7 linked regions of the Mus musculus genome follow. The protein of the gene in region 1 interacts with the protein of each later gene in a pairwise test. Links are inferred from orthologs where the notes say so. Each region holds a gene or a part of one and is shown in the gene's direction. Other genes may lie near its edges.

The links.
Region 2: the proteins of Ccdc136 (region 1) and Jmy interact in binary tests that used the Homo sapiens proteins (3 or more experiments, as listed by UniProt). The two-hybrid records come from large-scale screens. The link is inferred for Mus musculus from reciprocal best matches to the Homo sapiens genes CCDC136 and JMY.
Region 3: the proteins of Ccdc136 (region 1) and Disc1 interact in a two-hybrid assay, tested with the Homo sapiens proteins (2 studies listed by BioGRID and IntAct). The link is inferred for Mus musculus from reciprocal best matches to the Homo sapiens genes CCDC136 and DISC1.
Region 4: the proteins of Ccdc136 (region 1) and Mos interact in binary tests that used the Homo sapiens proteins (3 or more experiments, as listed by UniProt). The two-hybrid records come from large-scale screens. The link is inferred for Mus musculus from reciprocal best matches to the Homo sapiens genes CCDC136 and MOS.
Region 5: the proteins of Ccdc136 (region 1) and Kat5 interact in binary tests that used the Homo sapiens proteins (3 or more experiments, as listed by UniProt). The two-hybrid records come from large-scale screens. The link is inferred for Mus musculus from reciprocal best matches to the Homo sapiens genes CCDC136 and KAT5.
Region 6: the proteins of Ccdc136 (region 1) and Nebl interact in a two-hybrid assay, tested with the Homo sapiens proteins (2 studies listed by BioGRID and IntAct). The two-hybrid records come from large-scale screens. The link is inferred for Mus musculus from reciprocal best matches to the Homo sapiens genes CCDC136 and NEBL.
Region 7: the proteins of Ccdc136 (region 1) and Usp2 interact in binary tests that used the Homo sapiens proteins (3 or more experiments, as listed by UniProt). The two-hybrid records come from large-scale screens. The link is inferred for Mus musculus from reciprocal best matches to the Homo sapiens genes CCDC136 and USP2.

The regions. Positions count from the first base shown.
Region 1 is NC_000072.6:29,417,075-29,420,574, forward strand, and holds part of Ccdc136 (coiled-coil domain-containing protein 136), read left to right. Parts: coding exon 1-504; intron 505-857; coding exon 858-1,079; intron 1,080-2,027; coding exon 2,028-2,309; intron 2,310-2,912; coding exon 2,913-3,191; exon of another isoform or gene 3,192-3,500. UniProt on the Homo sapiens protein: May play a role in acrosome formation in spermatogenesis and in fertilization.
Region 2 is NC_000079.6:93,497,009-93,500,994, reverse strand, and holds the start of Jmy (junction-mediating and -regulatory protein), read left to right. Parts: upstream 1-1,186; 5' UTR 1,187-1,688; coding exon 1,689-2,693; intron 2,694-3,986. UniProt on the Homo sapiens protein: Acts both as a nuclear p53/TP53-cofactor and a cytoplasmic regulator of actin dynamics depending on conditions. In nucleus, acts as a cofactor that increases p53/TP53 response via its interaction with p300/EP300.
Region 3 is NC_000074.6:125,052,695-125,056,994, forward strand, and holds the start of Disc1 (disrupted in schizophrenia 1 homolog), read left to right. Parts: upstream 1-1,500; 5' UTR 1,501-1,535; coding exon 1,536-1,590; intron 1,591-4,300. UniProt on the Homo sapiens protein: Involved in the regulation of multiple aspects of embryonic and adult neurogenesis. Required for neural progenitor proliferation in the ventrical/subventrical zone during embryonic brain development and in the adult dentate gyrus of the hippocampus.
Region 4 is NC_000070.6:3,870,158-3,873,585, reverse strand, and holds Mos (proto-oncogene serine/threonine-protein kinase mos), read left to right. Parts: upstream 1-1,480; 5' UTR 1,481-1,771; coding exon 1,772-2,803; 3' UTR 2,804-2,928; downstream 2,929-3,428.
Region 5 is NC_000085.6:5,607,295-5,611,585, reverse strand, and holds the start of Kat5 (histone acetyltransferase KAT5), read left to right. Parts: upstream 1-1,491; 5' UTR 1,492-1,556; coding exon 1,557-1,568; coding exon of another isoform or gene 1,569-1,667; coding exon 1,668-1,734; intron 1,735-1,841; exon of another isoform or gene 1,842-2,054; coding exon 2,055-2,123; intron 2,124-2,213; coding exon 2,214-2,350; intron 2,351-2,601; coding exon of another isoform or gene 2,602-2,628; coding exon 2,629-2,784; intron 2,785-2,873; coding exon 2,874-2,948; intron 2,949-3,256; coding exon 3,257-3,331; intron 3,332-3,621; coding exon 3,622-3,870; intron 3,871-3,945; coding exon 3,946-4,035; intron 4,036-4,291. UniProt on the Homo sapiens protein: Catalytic subunit of the NuA4 histone acetyltransferase complex, a multiprotein complex involved in transcriptional activation of select genes principally by acetylation of nucleosomal histones H2A and H4.
Region 6 is NC_000068.7:17,460,057-17,464,123, reverse strand, and holds the start of Nebl (nebulette), read left to right. Parts: upstream 1-1,267; 5' UTR 1,268-1,457; intron 1,458-3,578; 5' UTR 3,579-3,585; coding exon 3,586-3,666; intron 3,667-3,767; coding exon 3,768-3,839; intron 3,840-4,067. UniProt on the Homo sapiens protein: Binds to actin and plays an important role in the assembly of the Z-disk. May functionally link sarcomeric actin to the desmin intermediate filaments in the heart muscle sarcomeres.
Region 7 is NC_000075.6:44,073,521-44,077,020, forward strand, and holds part of Usp2 (ubiquitin carboxyl-terminal hydrolase 2), read left to right. Parts: intron 1-1,845; 5' UTR 1,846-1,886; coding exon 1,887-2,702; intron 2,703-3,500. UniProt on the Homo sapiens protein: Hydrolase that deubiquitinates polyubiquitinated target proteins such as MDM2, MDM4 and CCND1. Isoform 1 and isoform 4 possess both ubiquitin-specific peptidase and isopeptidase activities.

The DNA.
Region 1 (3,500 bases):
AAGGTGCTTATGGACCAGCTGCAGGCTCTGCAGGTGCTATATGACACCAGTCAGAAACAGCAGGAGGTACTGCAGCGGGAGCATGGGCGGCTCATGGAGGAGCGGAAGAGGCTGCAGGCTGAGCTACAGCTCTGCATGGAAGAAATGCAGGTGCTCCAAACTCAGTCCCCCATGATAAAAAGGAGTTTTGAGTACTGCGGGAAGAACTCAGGCAGCAGGGCCCCCAGCACTGAGAACTTCCACAGGAGTTACGAGAGCTCCATTGATGAAAATGAGGGCTATCAGAAGAGTTATGTGAGCTCCCAGCCCAGCACTGAAACCTTCCTCAAGAGCTATGACAGTAGCACCAGTGCCAACGAGGCCTTTGAGAAGAGTTACTGCTCCAGCAGCACAAGTGTGAGCTATAAGAAGAGTTATGGCTCTGTCAGTAGTGGTGAGACCCTTCACAGGAGCTATGCCAGCAGCAGTACTGATGAGGACCCAGCTGAGCCTGAAGACTTGGAGGTAACCATTGCCAGGTTATTGGTCAGGCAGGGAAGGTGGGTTCCTCTGAAAGAAACAGCACCAGGGGAAGGGCATATGAATGAGATAGGAGCAGGGGCAGAGCAGGCTCGGAGTATGGAAGACTTCTGCTAGTGACTGTCCTGCTTCCTCTTACTCCTGACAGACGTGTCCTGGTTTGCACAAAGACCCCGAGGTTCAGGACTTTGAACATAGTCAGGATGTTCTTTATGGGAGGAAGTATGGTCCCCCCGCCCCACCCCCAGGCAGCTCCAGGAAAGGGCCAGAGGTGTAGAGTGTAGGACAGAGATCAAGGGCTTCTTGGGGTGCTGTCATCAATCCCCCACTCTCTGCAGCACTTTGAGGAAACAGTGGCCAAGGTGCTGACCAAGTTGCAGGCAGTGAAGGCCCTGTACCAAGTGAGCCAGGAAGAGCACTGCCAGCTGCAGCAACGGATGCACAGGCTGCTGGCCAAGCAGAAGGAGCTCACAGAGGAGCTGCAGTGCTGCGAGAAGGAGCTGAGGGAGTGCATGGAGAGCCTGGGGAAGCCCCTGCCTCCCCAGAGTGACAAGTGCGAGGTAACAGTTGCCAGTGCCAGAGAGCCACCTTAGAGAACGGGGCGTGGGGGTGAGGGGCCGGCAGTCTGCAGCATCTGATGGGCATTGTCAGGTGAAGGACCCTCCAGTGCTCACTGTCCTGTGACTTACTGGTAATTCCAGGCTACTTTCGTGACGATGCTCTCTCCCCTCGCTGCTTCTATTCTGTCTTTTACTTTGTACCCCAGAGCACTTGTATGGAGCTGTATTTTTTTTTTAACTTGCCAATATTTTTTCATTATTTTAAGTCCATTGTCTTTTTTCCCCAACTAGATTATATGCACTCTGAGGACAGGGCTCTGACCAGCCATGGTTCACCGTCCAATGGGAGAATCACTGTATGTGTGTTTGGGAGAGATAGAACATATGCAGAGAGTGATGGCCACACAGACCTATGCTGATTAGTACTTACTAAGTGAACCATGTGCTGCCATCAGCCCAGGAAGGCAAGCCTGAGATTAGGGGACAGGTTTAACTTCGTATGTTACCAGGACGGGGTTGCAGGTGCCACATGTACTACTACCAGGTGTTCTCAGCAGTTCCCTAGTAACTAACAAAGGAGTGGAGTGGGTGAAGTGGGAGTTCCTGGAAGGAAAATTAGATGATAATAATGCCTGAGCTTCAGAAGTGGCGGCAGGCACTCATGTAGTTATTCCCTTGACAGGTCACGATCAAAAAACATAACATCAATATTTTTAACTTAATAATAATTTTTATCATTCTAGATGCAGATCTTCAGGTATTTCAACTTGGGGTGGGGGAGCTATCTGTGAAGCCTCTTAGGTTTCATTGCCTACTTGAACTTCTTATTGTCCACTTCCTTGTGAGCTTTAGCAGGGAGATCTGTGAGAGAGTGGTTTCCTAAGAAAGTCCTGGGCTGACTGGGTGGGACTGCTGTGCTGTGGATAACTGGAGTCCCACTACCAACAGATCAAAGAACTGCAAACTAAGCTGCGGGAGCTGCAGCTGCAGTACCAGGCTAGCATGGATGAGCAGGGGCGGCTTCTGGCCGTGCAGGAGCAGCTGGAGGGGCAGCTGCAGTGCTGCCAGGAAGAACTCCGCCAGCTCAAAGAAAACAGGCCCTCTATTAGCTCAGAAGCCAGGGGCAAGAATGTCAATAAGAATATGAACAAGAATGCCAATGGAGTTAGAAATAAGAAGCTGAGCATGGCGTGCTCAGAGGATTTGGAGAACGGTTTTGAGAATGAAAAGGTGAGTTGGAGCCTTAGAAGCCAGAGAGGCCCCGGCGGGTGGAGGAGGCCCTGGGAAGAAACAAAGGCACTGTGAGGAGGTATACTTTTAGTACTGCTAATACAAGAGTTCCAACTATGTAAGCAATTGGCCACTTTCCTGGGTGCTTTGGGGAGAATGCCCACCAGTTGCTTTCACTAGCCTAAGTCCATCTCTGGGACCCCTGTTATTCCTGGGTTTCATGGTCAAAGCCCATCATTACACAATGAAAGATCAGCTAGATGGAGAGAGAGGGATTTATGTGTGCAAGAGGATTGGCTGTGGTAAGAATGACCAGAAAGGGAGGAAGCAGCCATTGAGGACCAAAGTCCAAGAGTCTTGGATTATGGTTATCCGCTTGAAATGGCCTCATGGTTAGATCTGATTGCTAGCTTAACAAACTAAGTGTGACTGTCCTCCACATTACTCTTGAAAAGATTAGTTTGTAGTTCCAAAATACAGTCTTGCACAATGGGACTCTGATGTGATATAAGTAGAGCTTTCTGGAGGTAATATAGCCCTGTCTGGAGGGTAAGATTCATTTAGGTAACAGCAGCCCCACCCTACCCTGCCTCCACCCTGCAGAATCTGGAGGTGATGCTATACTACAAGGCCAGCCAGAGGAGATTAGATGAGCTAATGAAAGAAGAAAAAGAGATCGAAGAGGCAAGAAAGAAAGAAAGAGAGAAAAAAGCCAAGAAAGACTTGTGTAAACTAGCTACTAATCCAGCAGCAGATCCTAGGGCAGAGCCTGAGCCGACAGAAGATGAGGAGGAAAACTTTGAAGAGTACAGAGAAGGGGAGGATGAATCTTGTGAGGCTGCCGAGGAAGGCAACCCCCTTAAGCTTTCTGAGAGCAAAAAGGTAACCACAGCAGAAGGCTAGACCAAGTGGGAATGAGCCTGGGGCTCGGGTGCTCTGGTGTTCAGGAGTGGCCCCACCGTGGATGCACCAATACAAGATAGAGGCCAGTGAACATCTGTTGGACAAGGGAATGGGGAAGGGATTGGAGAGGGCAGTCTTTCTGAAGAAAATGGCAGGCTTAAATTAAGTTGCTAGAGCCATTGTACAATGACTGCCTTTTCTCAGAACCAAGGTGGAGGTCATGTGTCCTTTCACTTACACTGTAGCACTCAGTCACCTGTCTGTATCAGCAATGTCCCCTCATCCCTC
Region 2 (3,986 bases), on another chromosome or scaffold:
GTGGCACACGCCTTTAATCCCAGCACTTGGGAGGCAGAGACAGGCAGATATCTTAGTCCGAGGCCAGCCTGGTCTACAAAGTGAGTTCCAGGACAGCCAGGGCTACACAGAGAAACCCTGTCTCCAAAAAACCAAAACCAAAACAAAAAAAAAAGTTCAGCCAAGAGATAGGTCTAAAACTTTTGACTATCAATTTAGATGTCAGGCCAATACAAAACTGTGTGTAGCTGACAACGTGAGGGTGACTCAGATGATTTTCACACGTTTTAGAAATGTGGCTTAAAGTAAAAGAACTAATTCCTATTATACATTAGTGCCTGCTTGATGCCTTAGACACTGACAGGAAAGATGACGCCAATAATATAAAGTGGATTATAAACCTACTAGACAATATTAGGAATGTTTCAACACAATTTAGTATGAATAATTGGATTTTTCTGGCTGGTTTTTGAAACAAGGTCTTTTGTAGCCCCTGCTGGCCTTGAATTACCATATCTGGTTGCCTCTACTCACCAAGTGTTGGGATTATAGTTATGCACTGCCTTGCCAGGCTGATAAAAACTTTTTGTTTGTGCTTTCTGGGAACTCTGATAACTGAATACAATGTCAAAACTTTAGTGCAGTGACTGCCCAAAGAGATTCTCAGAACAGTACACAACGAGGAAAGCCGAAGCAATAAAAGAAGGATAAATTGAGACAAATGTTCACGCTCTTTAGGACGTGACTGAATTTTCCTACTGTTTTCGTATTCTCCTGAGTTGTTTTGCATACATGTCTAACTTAAATTGTGTCTGAAGGATGTCAGGGGAGAATGGAACCCTTTGGCTTAGCCTTGTAAAGCAAGGCAGAGTTCCCGGACTGTTTAGGACGCGTCTGAACACAGTTGGCGATCCAGATTCACTTAGGGTGAAGGAGGGCTACATCAAGGTCCTTGAACAAAGTCTCAGAGTCCCTCTGCCTTTGCTCCTCTTGCCGGGGGTTCAAAGCAACCTGTGCGGCCGGGCACACCAGTCTCTCATCTTGCAGAAAAGCGTCATCCCGCAGCCACAGACTCCGGGCCGGGAAAAAGGGGGCAGGGCTGGGGCCAGGAACGCGGCGGCGCGCAGGCGCGGCTGGAGGGACGCGGAGGGGGGCGGGGCGCCGCCGGGCGGGCGGGACGCGCGCCGCCGCTCCCGTTGCCGCTGCTGCCGCCGCCGCGTCAGCAGCGTGCCGCACGTGCCCGTGTTTACGTCCCTCGTGGAGCCGCAGACGTCACAGCCGAATGGCAACATTGTGGCGACGCTGAGACTAGCGCTTTAGGAGTCTGCTTTCTGGTTCTGGTTCTGGCTGGCTGGGCGCTGTTGGCCGGGGGCAGAGGGGCGGCGGGGAGGTAGGCCCCGGCGGGCGAGCGGCGGACGCGCGCCTCAGCACGCAGCCCCGCGGCTCCGCGCAGGCCGGTCCGGCGGCCCAGGGCCCTGCGCTGCGGCAGCGAGCGGCTTGTAAACAGATCCGGCCGCACGTGACCATGTGAACTACCTGCTCCGGGCCGCGTATTGTCTCTTCTGAGAGCCGCACCACAAAGGAGCCGGTGGGTGAGCGGCCGGCGCGCTAAGATGGCTGCAGGCGCCCCGCAAGGGTGAGCTGGGGGCGCGGCCACCGCGGAGACTCGGCCGGGCGGGCGACCCCCCTCGCCGGGCACCGGAGCTACCATGTCGTTCGCGCTGGAGGAGACACTCGAGTCCGACTGGGTGGCGGTGCGGCCCCACGTATTCGACGAGCGCGAGAAGCACAAGTTTGTGTTCATTGTGGCCTGGAACGAGATCGAAGGCAAGTTTGCTATAACCTGTCACAACCGGACGGCCCAGAGACAGAGGAGCGGTTCCCGGGAACAGGCGGGGACGCCCGCGTCTGATGGGAGTCGCGGTCCGGGCAGCCCCGCGGCCAGGGGTCGGTCAGAGGCCGCTGCCTCTGCTACAGCAGCGCTCCGGAGTCCCGGGCCACGGAAAAGCCAGGCCTGGGCCGAGGGCGGCTCTCCGCGCAGCGCGCGCAGCCTGAAGGGGGATCCTCCTCGGGGTCCCGCGGGCAGAGGACCGGAGAGTCCTCTCCGTAGCCCCGCGCGGGCTAAGGCCAGCCCGCTCCGCAGAAGCGCCGAATCCCGAGATGCGACCGCCAGTGCCACGCCAGCCCCGCCGGCGCCCCCGGTGCCCCCGGTGTCGTCGGTGCGGGTGGTGAGTGCCTCCGGGGCGGTCTCCGAGGAGATCGAGGTCCTGGAAATGGTGAGGGAGGACGAGGCGCCACAGCCGCTCCCGGACTCGGAGCAGCCGCCGTCTGCCGCGGAGCTGGAGTCTCCGGCCGAAGAATGCAGCTGGGCCGGGCTTTTCTCCTTCCAGGATCTGCGAGCCGTGCATCAGCAGCTGTGCTCGGTAAACTCCCAGCTGGAGCCGTGTCTGCCGGTGTTCCCCGAAGAGCCGTCAGGCATGTGGACGGTGCTGTTTGGGGGCGCCCCCGAGATGACCGAGCAGGAGATCGACGCTCTATGTTACCAACTCCAGGTATACCTGGGCCACGGCCTGGACACGTGTGGCTGGAAGATCCTTTCTCAGGTTCTTTTCACCGAGACGGATGATCCGGAGGAGTATTACGAAAGCCTCAGCGAGCTGCGGCAGAAGGGCTATGAAGAGGTGCTTCAGCGGGCCAGGAGGCGCATCCAGGAGGTGAGTGCGGAGTCCGAGCAGCGGTCCTAGTTTTCACGTCTCACTGCCAAGTGTTGGAGCCTGGGTTTGGGGTCTGCGAAGTGTCTTCTTTTCTAGCCGCGGGAAAAGGAAGAACAGGAGGGCTCCTGATCGGCTTTCTTTACTTATCTCAGCGATGGATCTTTGGGAAGTTTTGAGTTTTTTTACCCCTCCAAAAAGTACCCAGTTTACTAAAAATACAGGTAGAGATAAAAGCATTTAGAAAAACAGGTATTCTGTAATCTTAAACTAAATGAATGTTACTCTCCCCCTAAAGTAGCTTGCCCAGACATTAGCTCTTCTTTCAGGGTGTCATGTTTATGTACTGAAAATTGTTGTCTTACCGATCAAAGTTGATCTGCTTTTGTTTGCCTTGTGTGCTCTGGCAACATAGGTAAGTATGAAATTTTACTTTTCAGCGTTTTGCGGTGCTCAAAGTGTACCACTGAACTACACCCAGCCCTAAATTTATTTTTTAAAAAGTGTGTTGACTTGACCAAATGAGAATTGACATAAGTAAGATTTTAGACTATGAAGTCTTTACAGATGGCTCAAGTTTCACTCCTGTTTTAGGGAGAAGGTAGGTCAAGGGCAGGAATGCTTTGAGCTTTTATATGTAGTGTGAACACTTTAACATACTTCTTGAGTCTTTAAATAACAGGAAATAAAGGCTATACGTAGTGAGCTCTTCAGTGTGTGTTTATAGTCATGCCTCTTCTGTAGAAATGTACTAAAAAGTGTAATTTAATAAGGTGACTTCTAATGGGCAATATACAATTTTTCAAAGCAATTTGTTTTAATGTCACAGTATTTTGTGCTTGAACTTGGGATGGAGAGAAGCTCTGTTTCATGGAGTTTTTATTCCTGAATTGCTGTCATTTGTATGTATATTTAACTGATATTAGGCCAGGAACCTGGAATGTTCTTAGTTTCTTACTAGAATATTTGGTGTTTGACTTTGCTAGACTATTATTTCTCACTTACACCATACACTATGCATACATTTACAACTTCCTCTATCAAGACTCTTCACTCTAGCTCACATCTTTAATCCCAGCACTCGGGCATGTGGATCTTTGTGTGTTCAAGGCCAGCCTGGTGTGAATAGGGAGTTCCAGGACAGCCAGAAGCACCTAGTCACAAGCTGTCTTGAAGGACTACACTTCTCTGGGTTACTGGATGGTAGGCATCATGTGGAGCTTCCTAGAGTTCAGGAACCTGTTTTCATTTCTCCCTTTACTAGCTCACTTCCTGGAGACTTTGATAATCTTTTTG
Region 3 (4,300 bases), on another chromosome or scaffold:
GTGAGCTACTCAGGATAGATGCTGTGAAACTGAACTCTGATCCTCTGCAAGAATGCTATGTGCTCTGAACTGTTGGGCCAGCTTTCCAGCCCCTGTTTTAAGACAGTTTATGTTATATATTCAGAGGTATGCCTAGTTATCCTCGGGAGTGAGTCAGGTAGACCTGAGAGTGTTTATGGCAGGCTGGCCAATTCAACTGTATTTACTACGGAGTGCCTCCTGAGGAGGAGAGGCGTTCCATTCGTTTTAGCTGACCACTTCAGATCGATCGCAGGCCATCACTGAGGGGAGTCAAGGCAGGAACCTAAGGCAGGCCTGCTTGCTATAGCACACAGCATTAACCTCCAATGGAGAGCTCACTTCACTGCCAATCAGGTATAGCAGGAACCACAGAGGACGCTGTTTGCCAGCTGGCTCGTAGATGGGCTTCAGCTCACTTAGCTTTCTTGGATAGTTCGAAACCTAGGTAATGGTGCCGCCCACAGTGGGCTGGGCCTTCGAAGGCCAGTTAACTGTCCAGACCTTTCTTACAGACGCGATACGGGCCAATCTGATCTAGGTAATCATGGACTAAAGCTCTCTGCTCACAGGACCCTAGGCTATGTCACACTGACAGGTAAAGCAAACTAGGATACCAACACAGTGCCTTTTTCAACCCTGTTACCCTACCCACTGCACTAAATCCTGACTCTGCTCATGTCTTTATCAACTTCAGCCGCATCCGCCCGTGCTTACCCGAAGGTTCCTGGTAAGAGGCAACTGCTCTGGCCCACCTTTCCAGCACCTGGTCTTTTTTCTAGGGCCACAGGCTCCTCCCTTCCAGCACGCACTCTCCCAGGCTTCTTCCCACTGCCCCATGCTCCACCCACAGTCAGGTCTCCGGCTGACTCCATGCAGTTCAGTTTTGTAGGTTTATTTTTGCCTCGGGGTCCAGAGGCGAGGTTATGACGGGCCTAACCCCTGACTGGCACTTCCTGTACCCACTGTCCTGTAGCAGGTGCTTTGCTGAAGCAGCCAAAGGGAAGGGATGGGGGAGGTGAGCCAGCTGCCAGGAGCTTGGCACAAGCCAAGGCTTGTGCCGTGCTCCTGGCCAGCCCCGTGCTGCCAGAGATTCGATTCTCAAGTCATTTTTAACAGCTGCTCCCACCCCCCCCGACCTGTCATCTGTCACTTTCCTTCGGCTTCACCGCGACTTGGTAGGAAGAAGTCCCTCTCTTGACCACCCCGCCTTTTACTCCCAGGGTCTGGGAAGCGCCCAGTCTTTCGGTCCCTGGCCACACTGCCCCATCACACTTCCCCTCCTTGGTTTCCTCCAAGTGAAAAGCAAAACTTTCTGCGCTGCGGTCTGGGAGCCGCGAGGGGCGGCGCGCGCGCGCTAGCGAGGGGCCGAGGCTGGAGAGGAAGCGGCGGTCCTGGGCAGGAGGAAGAAGCCAGCCCTCGGCTCGGCCCCCTGCCCGTTTCCCGCCGCCTCCGCGGCCGCCGCTACCACCATCACCACCACAGTCACCGCCGTCCGGGGCGCAGCCGGCCGCACGATGCAGGGCGGGGGTCCCCGGGGCGCTCCGATCCACAGTCCGAGCCACGGCGCAGGTAGGGCCCGGGGTTCTGGAGGAGGGCGAACGAGGCCTGCCGAGATCCGGGCGCACCCTGATGCAGGGGAGGGAAATCGAGGCAGTGAGCGGGGAGTGCAGGGTGCGGGCGGTCGTGTCCCCAGCTCCCACTGCAGCTCCCGTCCAAGCGCGTCCCCGTCCCGAGAGTCCGGCCGCCCTGAGGCGCAGTCGGCGAAGGGCGCGCCCGCACTCCTTCCTTGCGAGGTCCCGGTGGCCGCGAAGGTTTCCGCAGCGCCCAAGTGCAGCTCGATCCCAGGACTCCCTCGGGTGGCCGGCGCAGACGCTGCGGGGACGCGGGGCGAGGTTGAGAGAGGTGTGGGAACTGCAGCCCGCACCTCCCGTGGGGCTGCTCGCCGCCCACTTCCGAGTGTGGACTGTGACGCGCAGGGCAGCGCAGGCTGAGGGGACCCGCTCCATTTCCTCTGTCAGCTTGGGCCACGTACCAACCCCGGTGATGACATCGAGTTAAGTGGGTGGCCGCTTTTCAACCTCAGCAACTCACTGTCAGAAACCCCAAGAAAAGAACGTGATGGCACACGCCTCTTTTCCTAGCACTCGAGAGACAGGAAGACTGTGGAGACTTTCTAATACAATCTGGGCTACAATAGTGAGACTCTATCTCAAAAACCAAAATCAAATCAGAACAATGAAAAATAAAACAAGCACGGAGATCTGCTCCAGACTGGGCTTTGCAGTTTGGGCGTGTGCTGTGCCAAGGAGAGAAGGCAAAGGACTTAGGAGCTTCTTTTGGCTCTTGGAGCCTCAGTTTACCCATCTGTGAAAGGAGCACTAATCACTAGCTTCCCTACCTCCTTAACTGGCTTCTATGAAGACATTTTTGCAATTGGGAGTTGGAAAATACAGGGTTGGTAGGTGGGTGTAGGGTAAGAGTCTTCTGCACCCGCATCCTGGACTCGGGAATGCCTTAGTTTTTCAATTTGTAAAATGGAGCTGATTTTCCTGCCTACGTGGTAGATTTTAAAAGGGGTTTAATGTGGTAGGAGGACATGAAACCCCTGGCCAAATCTCTGCGATACAAAGCAAATTCTCAAAAATCTCTTAGTTGCCCAGGCTAGCCTTAAATCTGCTGCCTAGCCCAGGCTGGCCTCCAATTTGCTAGCCTTTGCCTCCCAAGTGCTGGGATTACAGGTGTGCTCCACTACGCACGGGTCCTTAAGTATTATTTTGACCATGCAAGACCTAAATAATCGTGGGCAATACAGGAATGCCAGTGTGACATGTTAGTGTCTGAGTTACAGGGTATTTGAAAAGACATTTGGCACCTGACATGGAGACCGTTGAGGTTTAGCCAGGATTCTGCCCACAGCAAATAGAGCCCTGGATGAGAAACCTGCTTTCTGAGCTGTCTCTCCAAGTCTCGGGCTTTCTCTTCTGTTTATAAGAAAGAGAAAGCACCTGGGCTGTAATTATTACCTTAGCCCTGAGAGTGCTGCCCTGGGATGGAGAGCAGAACATCTGGAACTGGGGCAGGTGACAGCCTACAGGCGACAGGTGCCACTTTGCAGAGAGTGCATGGGCCAGGCACTTGGTCCTGCCCTTTGATGAGGTCCCCCTCACACCGGTGAGGGGCTGGTGCTACCATCCTCATCTTCCCTTGGATGTGGCAAGGGTTGGAGTCACCTGCCTGTGGCCCTGGTGGTTAAACAGGGACTGGGGCTCAAAGTCAGATGCAGGTGTCTCCAATTACAGGCTGAAGGGAAGGTGTCAGGTGGAGCCCAGGCTGAGCGTGGACCTTTGCCTGGTCAAAGGTAATACCTGGTCTTCTGTTTCTGCCGTTTATACCTATCTTCATCTATCTATCTATCTATCTATCTATCTATCTATCTATCTATCTATCTATCTATCTATCTATCATCTATCTATCTATCTATCTATCTATCTTCTATCTATCAATCATCTATCTGTATATCTTCTGTCTCTATCATCTATCTTCAGCATCTATCAATCATCTATTACCTATCTATCATTTATCCATCAATCTGTCTGTCTATCTTCTATCAATTATCTACCTACCTATCTATCAATCATCTATCTATCTATCTATCTATGTATCTGTCTATGTATCTATCTATCTATCTATCATCTATCTATCTATCTATCATCTATCTATCATCTATCTATCATCTATCTATCTATCTATCTATCTATCATCTATCTATCTATCATCTACCTACCTATCTATCAATCATCTATCTGTATATCTTCTGTCTCTATCACCTATCTTCAGCATCTATCTATCAATCATTTATTACCTATCTATCATTTATCTATCAATCTGTCTATCTATCTTCTATCAATTATCTACCTACCTATCTATCAATCTATCAATCATCTATCTATCTATTTATCTATCTATCATCTATCCATCAACCTATCTGTCTGTCTATCTATCATCTATCAATTATCTACCTACCTACCTATCTATCAATCATCTATCTATCTATCTATCTATCATCTATCTATCTATCTATCTATCTTCTATCTATCAATCATCTATCTGTATATCTTCTGTCTCTATCATCTATCTTCAGCATCTATCAATCATCTATTACCTATCTATCATTTATCCATCAATCTGTCTGTCTATCTTCTATCAATTATCTACCTACCTATCTATCAATCATCTATCTATCTATCTATCTATGTATCTATCTATGTATCTATCTATC
Region 4 (3,428 bases), on another chromosome or scaffold:
ACTAGACAACTTTAGAAGTGAATTATTTATGAGGTTGTCTTAAAATTAAAAATTACAAAGTAATAAATCACATTGTAATGTATTTTGTGTGATACCCAGAGGTTTAAGGCAACCTATTACTCTTATGCTCCTGAAGTCCACAATTCACAGTCCTGAACTATAATCTTATCTTTGTGATTGCTGAGCAAATTTGCAGTATAATTTCAGTGCTTTTAAATTTTGTCCTGCTTACTATTTTCCTTTTTTATTTGGGTTTGATATGCGTGCACAGAATGGGGCTTCTATTAAAATATTCCATGGCTTACATTTTTAATATTTTGTTCTCTTAATATGTTCAAAGCTACTCAACTTTTATTCCCGAAAAATGTTTACTTTAATTATTCTAATTTCTTACATAAAGCATTGAGGTGCTAACAATTATATACTATGTACAAGATGGCAGACTAAATCATATCATACCATCAAGTAGAAACCTGGAGTTTGGTGAACTTTGAGTTGTTTATATGTCTCTCCTTTATTGTCTTCTCAAAACCTGTGATTCTGAAGTCAAAGGGACACAGCTGTCACATGAAAAGTGATCACTTATCACCTGTATGCATAAAACACCTTACCAAGCAGCTAAGAGGAATAACTCCTAGCCACTTTGAGAAACGTTTTTGAATAAACAGAGCAAGGCTCTTCCCCATTCTCCCAGAGATATAGCATAAAACTGAGCGCATTTTTATAAAACAAAAAAGGAGGAATGTGTGGTTTGATGGCCAGACCCTGAATTTGTGTTCAGCATCTGCTTTTCCATATTATAGATGGGTACCAGTGATTCTGAGCCATGTCTATTTCTCCTGACTTTTCCTCTGTTTTCCCACGCTTGCTGATATTTACAGCCGTGGTCATCACAATCACCTTTGTTCCTTTCTTCCTTCCTCCAACTCTGCATTAAATTCCAGGAACTTGCTTTCTGTGAAGTCTAGAATCTGTCTTGAAGCAAACTCACACTCATGGGGTGGCTTAACTTGCCTTGGAAAGGGATATTGGGAGGTCACTGTGTTGTTATGTTACAGAGTCTTAACTTGCTGTTTAAATCAAATACAGTGTCAGAATGCTCCCTTCTGATGAACGTAAAAGGTATGTGATCTGACTTCTATAAGTGATTGTATTTGGATCAAAGACATTAAAGTTACAGATGTTAATTCTTACAAAGGTTGCATCTAATAACCCTGGCAAGTAGTTCAACAAATGTCTGCTGTTTGTATTGCAACTCTTGCAGCCAATAGCTGCTGGGAGTGATTTAATGCAGCTGGAGACTAGCACTAACAATCATTATAGCCTGAAAAGTGTGCACCAAGTTCACTGTACTTTTTTTTTCTCTTCAGTCGAAGGACTGATTAATGATCATCAGAATGTACTTGATTTTTTTTTTCTTCCATTGTATTGTGATTGAAGAATTAGTTGGAAGGTGACGTGAACTTTTGGGCAGGCCAGTACTGTTTAACGGGGGAAGAAGTTGCTAAGGATTCACTTTAGCTGTGAGCAATCGTTTCATCTGAGACTGCCAGGCTTCATCTGCACCCCCAACCCCACCTGACTTATTTTTTAAAAAAGAAACACCTTGTGGAGTAGTGATAGCACAGATGTGGCTGGTTTTGAGAATCAAGGAAGAAGGGAAAGGAACTGGGATGAAGGCAGCAATCTTCAGCCATGCTCCCAAACTTCCCTGGCTGTTCCTACTCATTTCTCCCTAGTGTCTCATGTGACTGTCCCATCTGAGGGTGTAATGCCTTCGCCTCTAAGCCTGTGTCGCTACCTCCCTCGTGAGCTGTCGCCATCGGTGGACTCGCGGTCCTGCAGCATTCCTTTGGTGGCCCCGAGGAAGGCAGGGAAGCTCTTCCTGGGGACCACTCCTCCTCGGGCTCCCGGACTGCCACGCCGGCTGGCCTGGTTCTCCATAGACTGGGAACAGGTATGTCTGATGCATAGGCTGGGCTCTGGAGGGTTTGGCTCGGTGTATAAAGCCACTTACCACGGTGTTCCTGTGGCCATCAAGCAAGTAAACAAGTGCACCAAGGACCTACGTGCATCCCAGCGGAGTTTCTGGGCTGAACTGAACATTGCAAGACTACGCCACGACAACATAGTTCGGGTTGTGGCTGCCAGCACGCGCACGCCCGAAGACTCCAACAGCCTAGGTACCATAATCATGGAGTTTGGGGGCAACGTGACTCTACACCAAGTCATCTACGGTGCCACCCGCTCACCGGAGCCTCTCAGCTGCAGAGAACAACTGAGTTTGGGGAAGTGCCTCAAGTATTCCCTAGATGTTGTTAACGGCCTGCTTTTTCTCCACTCACAAAGCATTTTGCACTTGGACCTGAAGCCAGCGAACATTTTGATCAGTGAGCAAGACGTTTGTAAGATCAGTGACTTCGGCTGCTCCCAGAAGCTGCAGGATCTGCGGTGCCGGCAGGCGTCCCCTCACCACATAGGGGGCACGTACACGCACCAAGCTCCGGAGATCCTGAAAGGAGAGATTGCCACGCCCAAAGCTGACATCTACTCTTTTGGAATCACCCTGTGGCAGATGACCACCAGGGAGGTGCCTTACTCCGGCGAACCTCAGTACGTGCAGTATGCAGTGGTTGCCTACAATCTGCGCCCCTCACTGGCAGGGGCGGTGTTCACCGCCTCCCTGACTGGAAAGACACTGCAGAACATCATCCAGAGCTGCTGGGAGGCCCGCGCCCTGCAGAGGCCGGGTGCAGAACTGCTCCAAAGGGACCTCAAGGCTTTCCGAGGGGCACTAGGCTGACTCCATCGAGCCGATGTAGAGATAAGCTTTTTGTCTCTGTTTATTTTTTTAAAGAAGTAAGGATGGTGTGGAAGAAAACATACCACTAGGGCATATTTTTAGGAAATAAAGTTACCACGAACTTCAGCCTGAAGTGCTTTTCCTAAGCATAACGGGGCCACAGATCTCATGGGCATCGCTGCTGGTAAACTAAGCCGTTTTGGGGTTCCTGGCCCTACTGTATCATTTCTGTAGTAAGGTTTGTTCCTGGATGAAAAAAAGAATGGGGGTGATGGTGGGAGGAGAGGACATCCCTGCTCCTAGGTATGAAGAACAAAGTTTATCGTGAATAAAAGGGAGACATAGGACATGGACCTGACTCTGAGCCATGTGAGAAGAGGTAGGAGGGGAAGGGAGAAGGAAGAGAGGAGAATCAGGTGTAGCAGCCCAAAAGAGGAGAAGTAACTAAATGGATTATACAGGGAAGGACAGCTGGGGAAGAAGGGCATGCCAGCCAGGACCACCCTGTACTGATAGGGATTGAGGGATGCAGGGAGAACCTGGCACCAGGTCCACTTTGTTGTGTTAAATAGGCACTTCAGCCATTTGTCCTGGGGTTGAAAACTTAGTTACTGGTAAAGAACAT
Region 5 (4,291 bases), on another chromosome or scaffold:
AGTGGTGATGCTTCAGTTCCTCAGGGGAAGACTGGATGTTCTGAAAGATGGCACAACTCAGAACTCACAAGAGAGAAAAATGCCGTGTGCTGTCATATGCCTGTTGTCATCCTTGTGACAAGTCCCAGGCCAAGCAGGGCTACACAGTGAGACTTCACCTCAGAACAAACAATAACAAAAGGCCTATTGGCTTTTCAGTACTTCTTATGCTGAACATATTTTGCACACAGATCAAATCCAAGTGTTATTATTAATGCTCCTGTGATGAAACCAATCCTTTACTTCTGCACATAAACTCTTCTCAAAGTGGCCAAATGGACCCGAAACCATTTAAACTGGGAACACTTAGAAGTAAGGCTAAAGGGCCCCACTACACCCTTTAGGCATGTTATCAATATCTGTGATAGTTATTTTTGGTTGTCCATTTGACTACATCTGGATTTCACTAAAACCCAAAAATGGAAGAACACATACGTGAACAATTTTGCCTACTCTGAAGTGGGAAAACCCACTGCTTTGTGTTTTTAAGAGGATTTCTCAGTGTAGCCCTGGGTGTCTTGGAACTTGCTCTGTAGACCAGGCCTGCCTCTGCCTCCCCAGTGCTGGCAAGCTGGCTTGGTGGAAGATCCACTTTGAATTCACATCTTTGAGGAGGGAGAACACACCTTTGTTATTCAAACCTATTCTTGTTATTCAAAGTCAGAAGATGCACCTTCTGCTGGAAACTAAAAGAAAGACATGAAACAAGATTTTCCTCCCTGCCACCCCCAGGACAGGGCTTATCTGTGTAACCCCGCTTGTCCTGGAACTGACTCTGTAGACAACGCTGGCCTCAACTCATAGAGCTTCGCCTGCTTCTGCCTCCACTGCCAGCCTGCTTTTACTCTGCCTACTTGCTCTCACTCTCGTTGACAAGTCCGCTCCTTCACTGTCATTAGCGCCTACTTCTTTGGGATTCTGATGTATAATGAAGACCAACTGAGACATCCATTCTTGTTGACTGAATGCCTACTGGAATTTTGAACCTTCCATGTATACAGCCACATATATACTATTTTAAAAATAGAAATCCAGTATTAACGGAAAAATCTTGCTAAGCCCCCAGGCCTGTGCAATCTTATGCAGACACCTGGGTGGATCTCTAAATCCCTTCAGGTCTACTGACTCCCCAGGGTTCAAAACCCCACTCCTTAGCTTCTTACTCAGGGTGACACCTCACACTGCCACTAAGAGGCTCGCCAGAACACTGCCTCTAGACAAAGCCTAAACATGATCTGAGTGACCGGCGTCGCACCCGGTGGGCGTCACGTGACAGACTCGGCGTTCCTCCAATCGCTGTGCGAGGAGCGGGGATTCCATCTAGTACTTGGCCTCAGGTTTACAACGTCCTGCTCTTCCATTCCCCAAACGGGCCGGCTTTTTGCTACCAACCAGCTAGCAGTGATTCTCAAGTGTTTCCCTTTCAAACAGCTTCAAGGGGCTCGGGCCTATAGCGCACTCAGCTCCGGAAGTGACGTCTCCCAGAGGGGCCGGAAGTGGCAGTGGAGGGAGGGAAGATGGCGGAGGTGGTGAGTCCGGTGCCCGGGGCGGGGCGGAGGGAGCCAGGGGAGGTGGGTAGAGCCCGAGGCCCCCCAGTAGCCGACCCTGGCGCCGCGCTGTCTCCCCAGGGGGAGATAATCGAGGGCTGCCGCCTGCCCGTGCTGCGGCGCAACCAGGACAACGAAGATGAGTGGCGTGAGTGACGTCGGGGGGCGGGTCCAAGGAACCTGAGGGCGAGGGGCGGGAGGGAGTCAACGATCGCACGGGAGGGGGAGGGGCTTCTGCAATCCCGGGGCGGTCGCAGATACTCGGGAGGAGGGGCGTGGCTTTTGGACGTACGGAGATGATCCGGGCGGGGCTTGGAGAGAGGTGTCACTTGGTGACTAAAGGGGTCTTGAACCAGCCCCTCTGAGTGCTGGGACACAGGCCTCCAGCCTGGAGGTGGGATTCAGGTCGAAGGGTGGAGTCTCCTGACCTGCCCTGGCTAAGACTCCCTGTCTGTGTGGTTCTCATAGCCCTGGCTGAGATCCTGAGCGTGAAGGACATCAGTGGCCGAAAGCTTTTCTATGTCCATTACATTGACTGTGAGTCCTGGGCCTGGATGGAGTGGGGTTGCTGGAGAGGGTTGAGGGCAGCCTCTGGCATTCCCTCCTGAGCCGTTTTCACTGCTGCAGTCAACAAACGTCTGGATGAATGGGTGACTCACGAGCGGCTGGACTTAAAGAAGATCCAATTTCCCAAGAAAGAGGCCAAGACACCTACCAAGAACGGACTTCCTGGGTCCCGCCCCGGCTCTCCCGAAAGAGAGGTGGTGAGTAGGTCCCCCATTTCATCTTTTCTCTCCTGCCTCTTCCTTCTTGCATCTCTTGGCCTCAGGGGTTCCTGAATGGGCAGGAGGCAGCATTCTTCTGCCATGGCTTCAGCTTGCAAAGGATGGGGACCAAGTTGCAGGCGTAGCTTCCAGAGTCCAGCACTGCCTTGCTTTAGAGAAGGCAGAGGGTGGGATTCCATGCTGAGGGGCCCATCCCCCCCTTCGCCATCCCACCACCATCCCCACCCCAGAGGAAGACCCTGGACCTATCTCTGCAGCCGGCCTCCGCCCAGGCCAGCGGGAAGACCTTGCCAATCCCGGTCCAGATCACACTCCGCTTCAACCTGCCCAAGGAGCGGGAGGCCATCCCAGGTGGCGAGCCTGACCAGCCGCTCTCCTCCAGCTCCTGCCTGCAACCCAACCACCGCTCAACGGTACCCTCAGCAATTCCAGGGACCTTGCTTTCTTCTCAGGTCCCACCTTCTCTACCTTCTGACCCACCTTTCCTGGTTTCTCTCTGCAGAAACGGAAGGTGGAGGTGGTTTCACCAGCAACCCCAGTGCCCAGCGAGACAGCCCCAGCCTCGGTTTTCCCTCAGGTGAGTCTTCCAGTCTTTTTTCATGTGTCTGAATGTTTTGTCTGTGTTTTGCATGTGTTCTACTTGCATGCCTGGTGCAGGTGGGCAGAAGAGGGCATTGGAGCCACTGAAACTGGAGTTAGAGATGGTTGTGAGCCACTCTGTGGGTCCTGGGAAAAGAACCCAGGAAGTCCTCTGGAAGATCAGGGCTCTTAACCACTGAGCCATCCCAACAGCCTGCCTGGTCTTTCCCCTCTTATTCCTTGCTGTCTAGCATCCTCCTCCAGGATCATCTCACGGTCGCTCTTTCTCTTGTGTCTTGTCCACAGAATGGGTCAGCCCGTAGGGCAGTGGCAGCCCAGCCTGGACGGAAGCGGAAATCTAATTGCTTGGGCACTGATGAGGTGGGTCTTGAGGAGCAGAGGGAGAGGGAAGCCGGGAAAGGGGGAGTGGGCTTGGGCATGGTGTTCACTCGGTGAGGCCTTAGGCAGGGAGGGTGGTGGCTGGGAGCCAAGCAGATGAACCCCTGGGCCTCTTCTACTCTCAGTTTCTCAGCCTCGCTTTATTTTGGAAGTGGAGGTTGGTGCTTTGCCCTTAGCTGATGTTAGACTTGCAGGAAGAAGCCAATGGCAGTGTCGTGCGCCACGCTCTGCTTAACTGCTACCATCTAGTATTTGCCATCTGCCTTGGGCAGGATTCTCAGGACAGCTCAGATGGAATACCGTCAGCACCACGAATGACTGGCAGTCTGGTGTCTGACCGGAGCCACGACGACATTGTCACCCGGATGAAGAACATTGAGTGTATTGAGCTTGGCCGGCACCGCCTCAAGCCGTGGTACTTCTCCCCGTACCCACAAGAGCTTACCACGCTACCCGTCCTCTACCTGTGCGAATTTTGCCTCAAATATGGCCGTAGCCTCAAGTGTCTGCAACGCCACTTGGTATGAGGGGTCTTGGGAGGCTGCCTATCCAGAGTACCCTCACCAGTCCCCACCTGATCCTCCTTTTGTCCTTAGACCAAATGTGATCTTCGGCACCCTCCAGGCAATGAAATTTACCGCAAGGGCACCATCTCCTTTTTTGAGATTGATGGACGGAAAAACAAGGTTAGTGGCTTGGGCACGGCTGGGCTGGAGTGAGTCACATGAACAACCTTTTCCTGCTCAGAACAGTTGACCATTCTGCCTATGAGCAGGTCACTGTTTTTATTGAATTCTTGACACGGAGCAGGGAATGTACAGAAAACTGGGATTTAGAGAAATTTTCTTTCCTGAGAGGTCACTGTCACGGCAGAGCAGACATGACAGCTACTCAGGTTCCAGTAACAGAGGGGGTTCAGCACAGTTCACAGGAAGCTGTCAT
Region 6 (4,067 bases), on another chromosome or scaffold:
GCCCAATAAGAAAATGGGGTTTAAAGGCTTATATACCCCTTCATATTATATCTTCATATGGGAGAAAGTATTGAGTCAAGATGGAGGCAATTTTAGGGAAGAATAAATGATTTACTGGGGGAGGGGGTGGTGAGATATAGACTCAGAAAGACAACAGACTGAGACAAAGTTTGTTTCGGCTTTGGGTGTTTGGTTTCCTCTTCTTGGTTGATGAAATAACATGGTAGAAGCCCACTATGTTCGCTTTTGGTAGAAGCAGCCTTTGTGTAAATAAAGAATTTTCAAAGAAGAGCTCTTTCCAGATTCTGCTGATTCCCCAGTGTCTGTAATCTAAAGCATCCCATGGTCTGAGGCATCATATTTTCTGGTATCTCCCATCTCAGCTCAGAACTCAATTGTAATTTATGATAATACAACATTAAACTTACACTAGGATTTACGAAAAAGGATAGGTATTTTTGAAACGTAATAACTGCCCACTAAGGACCCTTTTCTAACAAATTCCCCAAGTCAGAGTTTATACCTATTGACAGAAAAGCTTGACTGATAAAATCAGGGCTTAAAAAATATAGAGGAAATTTGACATGACTTTTATACTATCTTCTTATGCAAATGAAAAGAAGACACACTAAATCAAAAGTAATGGTGTATGTGGCTTGCCAGAAAGTCCATTAAAGAGTTCACTCAGCAAGTTTTGAGGTGATTTTTTTCCTGCCAGGGTATGTGCTACTTACTACTGGATCTCCTTATCCTGGTGTAGAACCAGCATAACAACATCAGTGTGTACTAAGCAGGCATCAGTGTGTACTAAGCAGTTCCTATCACACTGTTTTGCAAAGGAAGCAAATAGTTCACTGTTCTTAGCCTTCTGTTTGTCCTCTCTGAAGGAAAGCATTCTAAGTGAGGGTTTGTGATGGTTGTCAGCACTGGGGCCCAACAGAAGGCCTTGCATAGAAGCAAGCAAACTTGGTAATAAGCCAGCTGTGTTCCTAGCCATCTTTTTATGTTTATTTAAGACATGGTCTTGCTAAGTTGTCCAGGTTGGGATGAAGCTCTCTCTGTAGCTTGGGCTGGGCTTGAAGTTGTGATTGCTTTGCTCCCATCTCCTAAATTGGCTGGAAATGCAAGCTTTAAAGATTTTAGTAATGTGACTTTAAAATTCTGATTCTGACCTCTTAAAAGAAAAAATATGTTCATATTATGTGTGGTGTTTGGTGTGTCTTTGAAACTTTTGTGCATTAAAGGTTAACTGATTATTTTATTGCAGCCCAGCGAAGAACCATTAAGAACTCACAGCAAGATTGAAGATGAGAAGAAATCCTGCTTAAGCCTCAGGCACGCCATTCACTATGGAAACAGACATCACCCAAAGCAACATGAGCATTGTCATCTGAAGTGGAAGCTAAGAGGTTCATCTTGGACAGCGTTGGGATATTTTTTCCTATGTACTTCTGAAGGTTTGCAAGAAAAGTTTTTAGAAATTATTCCTCCGTAGAAAGCATTTCCTTCCTGAAGGTAGCACAGAGGAGCCTCTACAGAAGCAAAAGACAGCCTTAGGGAGAGGACATGAGGGAAACTTATAGATTGCAAATTCTCCTTACAGGACAAGTTTATAACAAACGAAAAGAATTCCAGTAGACGTGAGGGACGACATGGCTGTTATCTCAAAGTTTCCCAATTTAGCATTCCGGGGACAGTTCCTTTCTGGCATTTTGCTGGTTAAGTGGGGTCTGTGATACCCTTAATTTGACCTCTATTCAAAACTGTTTAATGAGAAAGCCAGCAAATCATGAAGAAGTTAGTCAGACGTAACAATGTTTTCCTAAGTCACATTTCACAGAGGGCACTGGATGCCATTAAGAGACAATAGTAGGCAGAATAGATGTGGAAACAGGAGGCAGACAGGATTCTTCTTTTAGAAGGGAAAGATTTAGTAAGTTGGGTAGGGCTTTTGATTGACGGTCATCACAGGTCTCTGCATGTGTCACTGTGGTGTGTAACACTCATCCTGACAACTATAGAAATTTCTTTATAGGTTTCTTGAAGAGATTTGTTTTAGGTCATTGTTTTTTGCCTTATCAACCTTTTTTTGTGGTACAGTTTTGCCTTTTGGAAAAGCATGTGAGAAACAGTATGGTTTTTGATGGATGTTCAGAATTCGAATGACTTATTAGATAAGGCTGGGGCATTTTTCTTTTAAAAACTGATAAGGACGTGTACAGAGATAGATATTCAATAGTTAAGACTATATAAAATGTAACATGAAACTAGCTCCACAACTTCAGAATCACTATTCTACCTTCATAGATGTTCAATGGGATATATAGACATTAGATCTTCTTAACTTCAGGGTGTTTTTTTAAATTAAAAATATTTTACAAGTTATTAAAAATAAATTGAAAACAAGATGATATCAAAATATATTTGGCTATGTAGGAATGAAGTATTATTTTGGATAAAGCTCTATTTTATGTAATTAATTTAATTAGTCACCATGGGGTGTTTTTCTAACACTGATCACTGATATGCAATACTTTTATAAAAAGCAATTTTACCTTAAAATTTAAACAGCCAAATTAACACATCAGGAATGAGAGATTCTTAGAATTGCTTAAATCGACAATAAAGGATTTATTTAGAAGAGTTTTCTTAATTATTGAACTAGTAAGATAGTCTACACAACAAATATGGTAATGTAATTTCTTAGTTTTCCAAGTGTGGGATACAGTGAGACTATAAAAGATACTAGTGAGTTAGTGAAAATTCACACAATGACAAAAATGCAGAGCATAATTATTTCCAATGCAGCGATGTTTCCTGAAGTCTTAAATAATATATCAACATATATTAACTTCAACTTCTCATGTTTAATGATGTTTACGATTAATATGGTACAGTATTCCCTAATTTGAGATTAGCAGTTGTAATTAACTCAGAATAGATTCTTTGAAGTGGTTCAAAGGGCTTTTTGTAATAAATTATTAGCCTCTAATCAGCTAATATGAAGTGAGTAGTTTTGGGGGATGTGAGAAGTACACTAAAACCTCATAAAACATTTAATTTAAGTTAATGAAATAAATTTGTATGGTACGGAGTCTCTATATGGAAACAGAATGACTGACATTCCAGAGGAGGCTTTATTTAGACCAAGTTGAGATATCTTTGGGATAAAGGCTTTAGGCCGGTGCTATCTTAGGTGTTATAGCTGAGTAGATTTCTAGAATTGTCAAGTCCCTTTAAAACAATTTTTAAAATTAATTGATTAATTGATTTAAAATTCATTAGTAGAAGATAAAAAAAAACCATTTTGTCTTGGGTTTCCTATGCTATCCTAAGAATGTTGATTTTAAGTTTGTAAAGTTGAGCTTTGACTTAGGAGAGAGTTTTCACTTGTGAGGCTGGGCCTGGCAGACCCTGAGGCTCCTGGGTGTTCACTGACACACCATTGAGATAAGGAGTGACATGAGCCAGGGATAAAGTCTGGCAAGCCTTTGCTTCCAGTGCCCCAGAGACTTGGTAGCTCACGGGTGTGGTAGTTCCTGAGAAGACACAGTTTGAAAGCATTAATATCTTCATAGGGTAAAGATGAAGGTACCTGTATCCGGGGATGTAAAAGAGGAAACTGAGGAGGAAAATGTGGAGCAGGAAGAAAACCAGGAAGCCAAGGTGAGCAAGAAAGAACTCACTTAAGCACAGAACTCTGTCCTTTAACAGATAAGGGAAAATCAGACCTTCTCCCTCCCTCTTTCTTTTTAATTTTCACATAGGTGTCTCTGAAACCTGTTATTGAAGACCTCAGCATGGAACTGGCCAGAAAGTGCACCGAGCTCATTAGTGACGTAAGTGGCTTTAAAGACTTTTATCTTATTTGCTTCCTTTACGTGGAATGGCTGTGTTGTAGAGTCATGGGGCTGGAGAGAAAACTCCCGAGGTTACCAGTTAGAGCACTGTCATTTTCTAGATCATAGAACTAAGTCCAGACATGTTAGGTGATTTCACCAAGGTCATATAGACAGTGATTGTCTAATGGAATAATTGTCCTCATTCCTAATCCAGATTCTGTCTCT
Region 7 (3,500 bases), on another chromosome or scaffold:
GCCTGGCTGGGCTGGCTAGGAGAGAAGATAATAGCCGGTCATTGTTAAGCGCTTTCCCGTGTTATTATCTCAGTCCTCACAACAACCCTGCGAGATAGGAATCCTGATGTTATTAGGCAACTTTACAGGGAGGAAATCGGGGCTCAAAGAGGTTCAACGGCTAGTGTAACTGCTCAACTGGTCTGTCTCAGAGAGAGTCAAAACCAGCCCTGGGGCCAGTGAGATGGCTCAGCAAGTAAAATCACTTGCCACCAAACCTAACCTAACCAACAGGCAAACCCCCAAACATGCATGGTGGAAAGATAGAGCTGACTCCTACCAGTTATCCTCTGACTTTCATGTCTGTGTCGTGTGTGTGTGTGTGTGTGTGTGTGTGTGTGTGTGTGTGTGGTGTTCACACACACATGCACACGCACACATGGAGGAGGAGAGAGATTTTTATTTTATTTTTTTAAGATTTATTTTATTTATGAGTACACTGTCATTGTCTTCAGACACACCAGAAGAGGGCATCAGATCCCATTACAGATGCTGTCAGCCACCATGTGGTTGCTGGGAATTGAACTCAGGACCTCTGGAAGAACAGTCAGTGCTCTTAACCGCTTAGCCATCTCTCCAGCCCGAGAGAGATTTTTTAAATCGTATGCTACTCTTGAGATTCCTGGATAGGTCTCCAGACCTCCACCCCACCCTGAGCCCCACCCCACCCCACCCCCACTTAAGAGTCCCTGAAGAAAGGAGCCTGGTCCTCTGTGCCCCTTTCTCCAAAGCACCTTCTCCCCTCTTGCCACATGGTGGAGGGGTTCTAGGAGTCTTCAGAGCTGCCCAACTCTGCTGAGGAATGGTAGAAGCAAGGCTGGTGGGAAAGGGTGCGGGGCCACGACCTGGGTTCCAATCCTGACTCTCCAGAGCAGGTGAACTTGGACAAGCAGGCATCATGCCCGTATCTGTACAATAGGTTAATCAATACATGGCCTTTAGGACTATCCAACCTCCACATTCAGGGATTAATCTACAAAACCCTGAAGTCTGGGAGTGTCTGCAGTCTACAGTACAGGATCTTGACTCTAGGGGGCGCCTCTTGCACAAGTCAAGTAACTCCAGGATCAGTTTGGCCCCTGCGTGGGTCCTGAAACCTCCTAGGAGGCCGTAGGTTCCTAAGCTCCACTGGGAAGACAAAGCCAAACTCCAGGAAGAGAATAGACAGGTTCTACCTCACCAGCGTTCCTGGTGTGGTCCCCTGTGTGACCAAGCAGGTACCTGTGTCCAAGGAAGAGTACCAAGGGAGGTCTGGAGACCAGGGTCCAGCCCTTCTGCTAGACATTCCCTCCCATCTCCCGCCATCACTTCCTTTCCTGAGACCCTCCTCTTCCTCACAGTCTTCCAGACATTTCCGGGGGGTGGAGGGAGCATTTTATACCTGAAGGTAGAACTGCTTGCCAAAGGCAGAGAAGCATTCATAACTCAAAGTGCTCATTGTCCCCCAGTCTATGCACTGAGGGTGGTAGGATCCCCCAGTCTCCAGCCCTTGCCAACTCTAAAAGTTCCTGCCGAGACTTACAAGAAGACCCACATGAGATTCAGCTGGAGTCTCTGATGTAGAGGGCTGGGGAAGTGGAGAGGCTGTGCCTTTTGCTGGTTGTTCTTGTGGGTACATGGGTACACCCACCCATATACATACCTGTTTGCATGTGTGTTTCTCTGGAGCTAGCCAGCCTATTATAGGCAGGCCCCAAGTGGTCCCTGTTGAGCCCTAAGGTCCTGGCCCAGCTGGCATAAAGAATGAGCACAGGATGGGCCTGGTGCTTCGCAGAGCCCTTGACAGCTGCTTTCCTTGTCTTTCAGCCCATGAGGCTCCCAGTACCCACTGAGTACCACCCTGAAGGATGTCCCAGCTCTCCTCCACCCTGAAGCGCTATACAGAATCGTCCCGCTACACAGATGCCCCCTATGCCAAACCGGGCTATGGCACCTACACCCCTTCTTCCTATGGGGCCAACCTGGCCGCCTCCTTCCTGGAGAAGGAAAAACTTGGTTTCAAGCCGGTCTCCCCCACCAGCTTCCTCCCACGGCCCCGCACCTACGGCCCCTCCTCCATTCTGGACTGTGACAGGGGCCGCCCCCTGCTGAGATCTGACATCATTGGGAGTAGTAAGCGGTCAGAGAGCCAGACCCGTGGCAATGAAAGGCCCTCGGGCAGTGGACTCAACGGAGGCAGTGGATTTTCTTATGGAGTTTCCAGCAACTCCCTCAGCTACCTGCCCATGAATGCCAGAGACCAGGGGGTGACCCTGAGCCAGAAGAAATCGAACAGCCAATCAGACCTGGCCCGGGATTTCTCCAGCCTCCGGACTTCAGATGGCTACCGGACTTCAGATGGCTACCGGACCTCAGAGGGCTTTAGGATAGACCCTGGAAACCTGGGTCGCAGCCCCATGCTGGCCCGCACGCGTAAGGAGCTCTGTGCCCTGCAGGGCCTCTACCAAGCAGCCAGCCGTTCTGAGTACCTAACAGACTATCTGGAGAACTATGGTCGAAAGGGCAGTGCACCACAGGTGCTCACGCAAGCCCCTCCTCCCTCCCGAGTCCCTGAAGTCCTCAGTCCCACCTACCGACCAAGTGGCCGTTACACACTGTGGGAGAAGAGCAAGGGCCAGGCCTCTGGGCCCAGCCGCTCCAGTTCTCCAGGGCGAGACACCATGGTGAGTTTACTCTTGGGGATCCAGTGAGGGACTGGGGAGACAGCCCCGTGTTACAAAGAGCCAGGCTAGGAACAGAACTCCCAACCTGACTGACGATTGGTGGCGGACAAGCAGCAGAGATCATCTTCCACGATGATCAAAGCATGACTTGGTGGCTCCATGGCTCAGAGCCATGGGGAAGGGGCTGGCCCGTGCTTCAGAGACCTACACACGTGGGAATGATCCAAAGGTGCTCTAGGAGGTTCAGCCCCCCCTGTCTGCTGTTCTTCTCATTCTCTGATCTCCCATCCAAAATGTCAGGGTCTTCCCCTGTGGGCTCTGGTCCATCCAGGGCTGGATGCCACAGTAGAAGTGTGATCACCATGTTACCTGTGGAGAGAGAGCCATCCTCCCACCCCGATCCCTGCTCTGGATGGTTCTCTTCCTGTCCAGGCATGAGATATTAGGAGTAGCAGGACTCTTCCCCTGATGCCGGCAGCTTAAGTTCAGGGTATCTGGAGAATAGGTTTGTATCTTTGGAGAAAATAGTGTAGAGTCTTTTGTCCAGAGATAGAGATGATCTAATACCTCAGTGCTCCAGCTTGCCTGGGCTGGAATGAGGGGAGAGGCTCTGTTGGAGATTAACCAAGGGCTGGCATGGTCTCCCTCACATCTAATCCCTGAACACGCCTCCCTGGGGCAGTGACTCCTCTCCTCTCCTGTAGTTATCCGTGTGTCCAATAGGTGGCGAGCTCTTGGAGATTTAAAGTGATTGTATCTCTACTCCTTCCCCTGTGCCTCTGGCAACTCGGGGCTCAG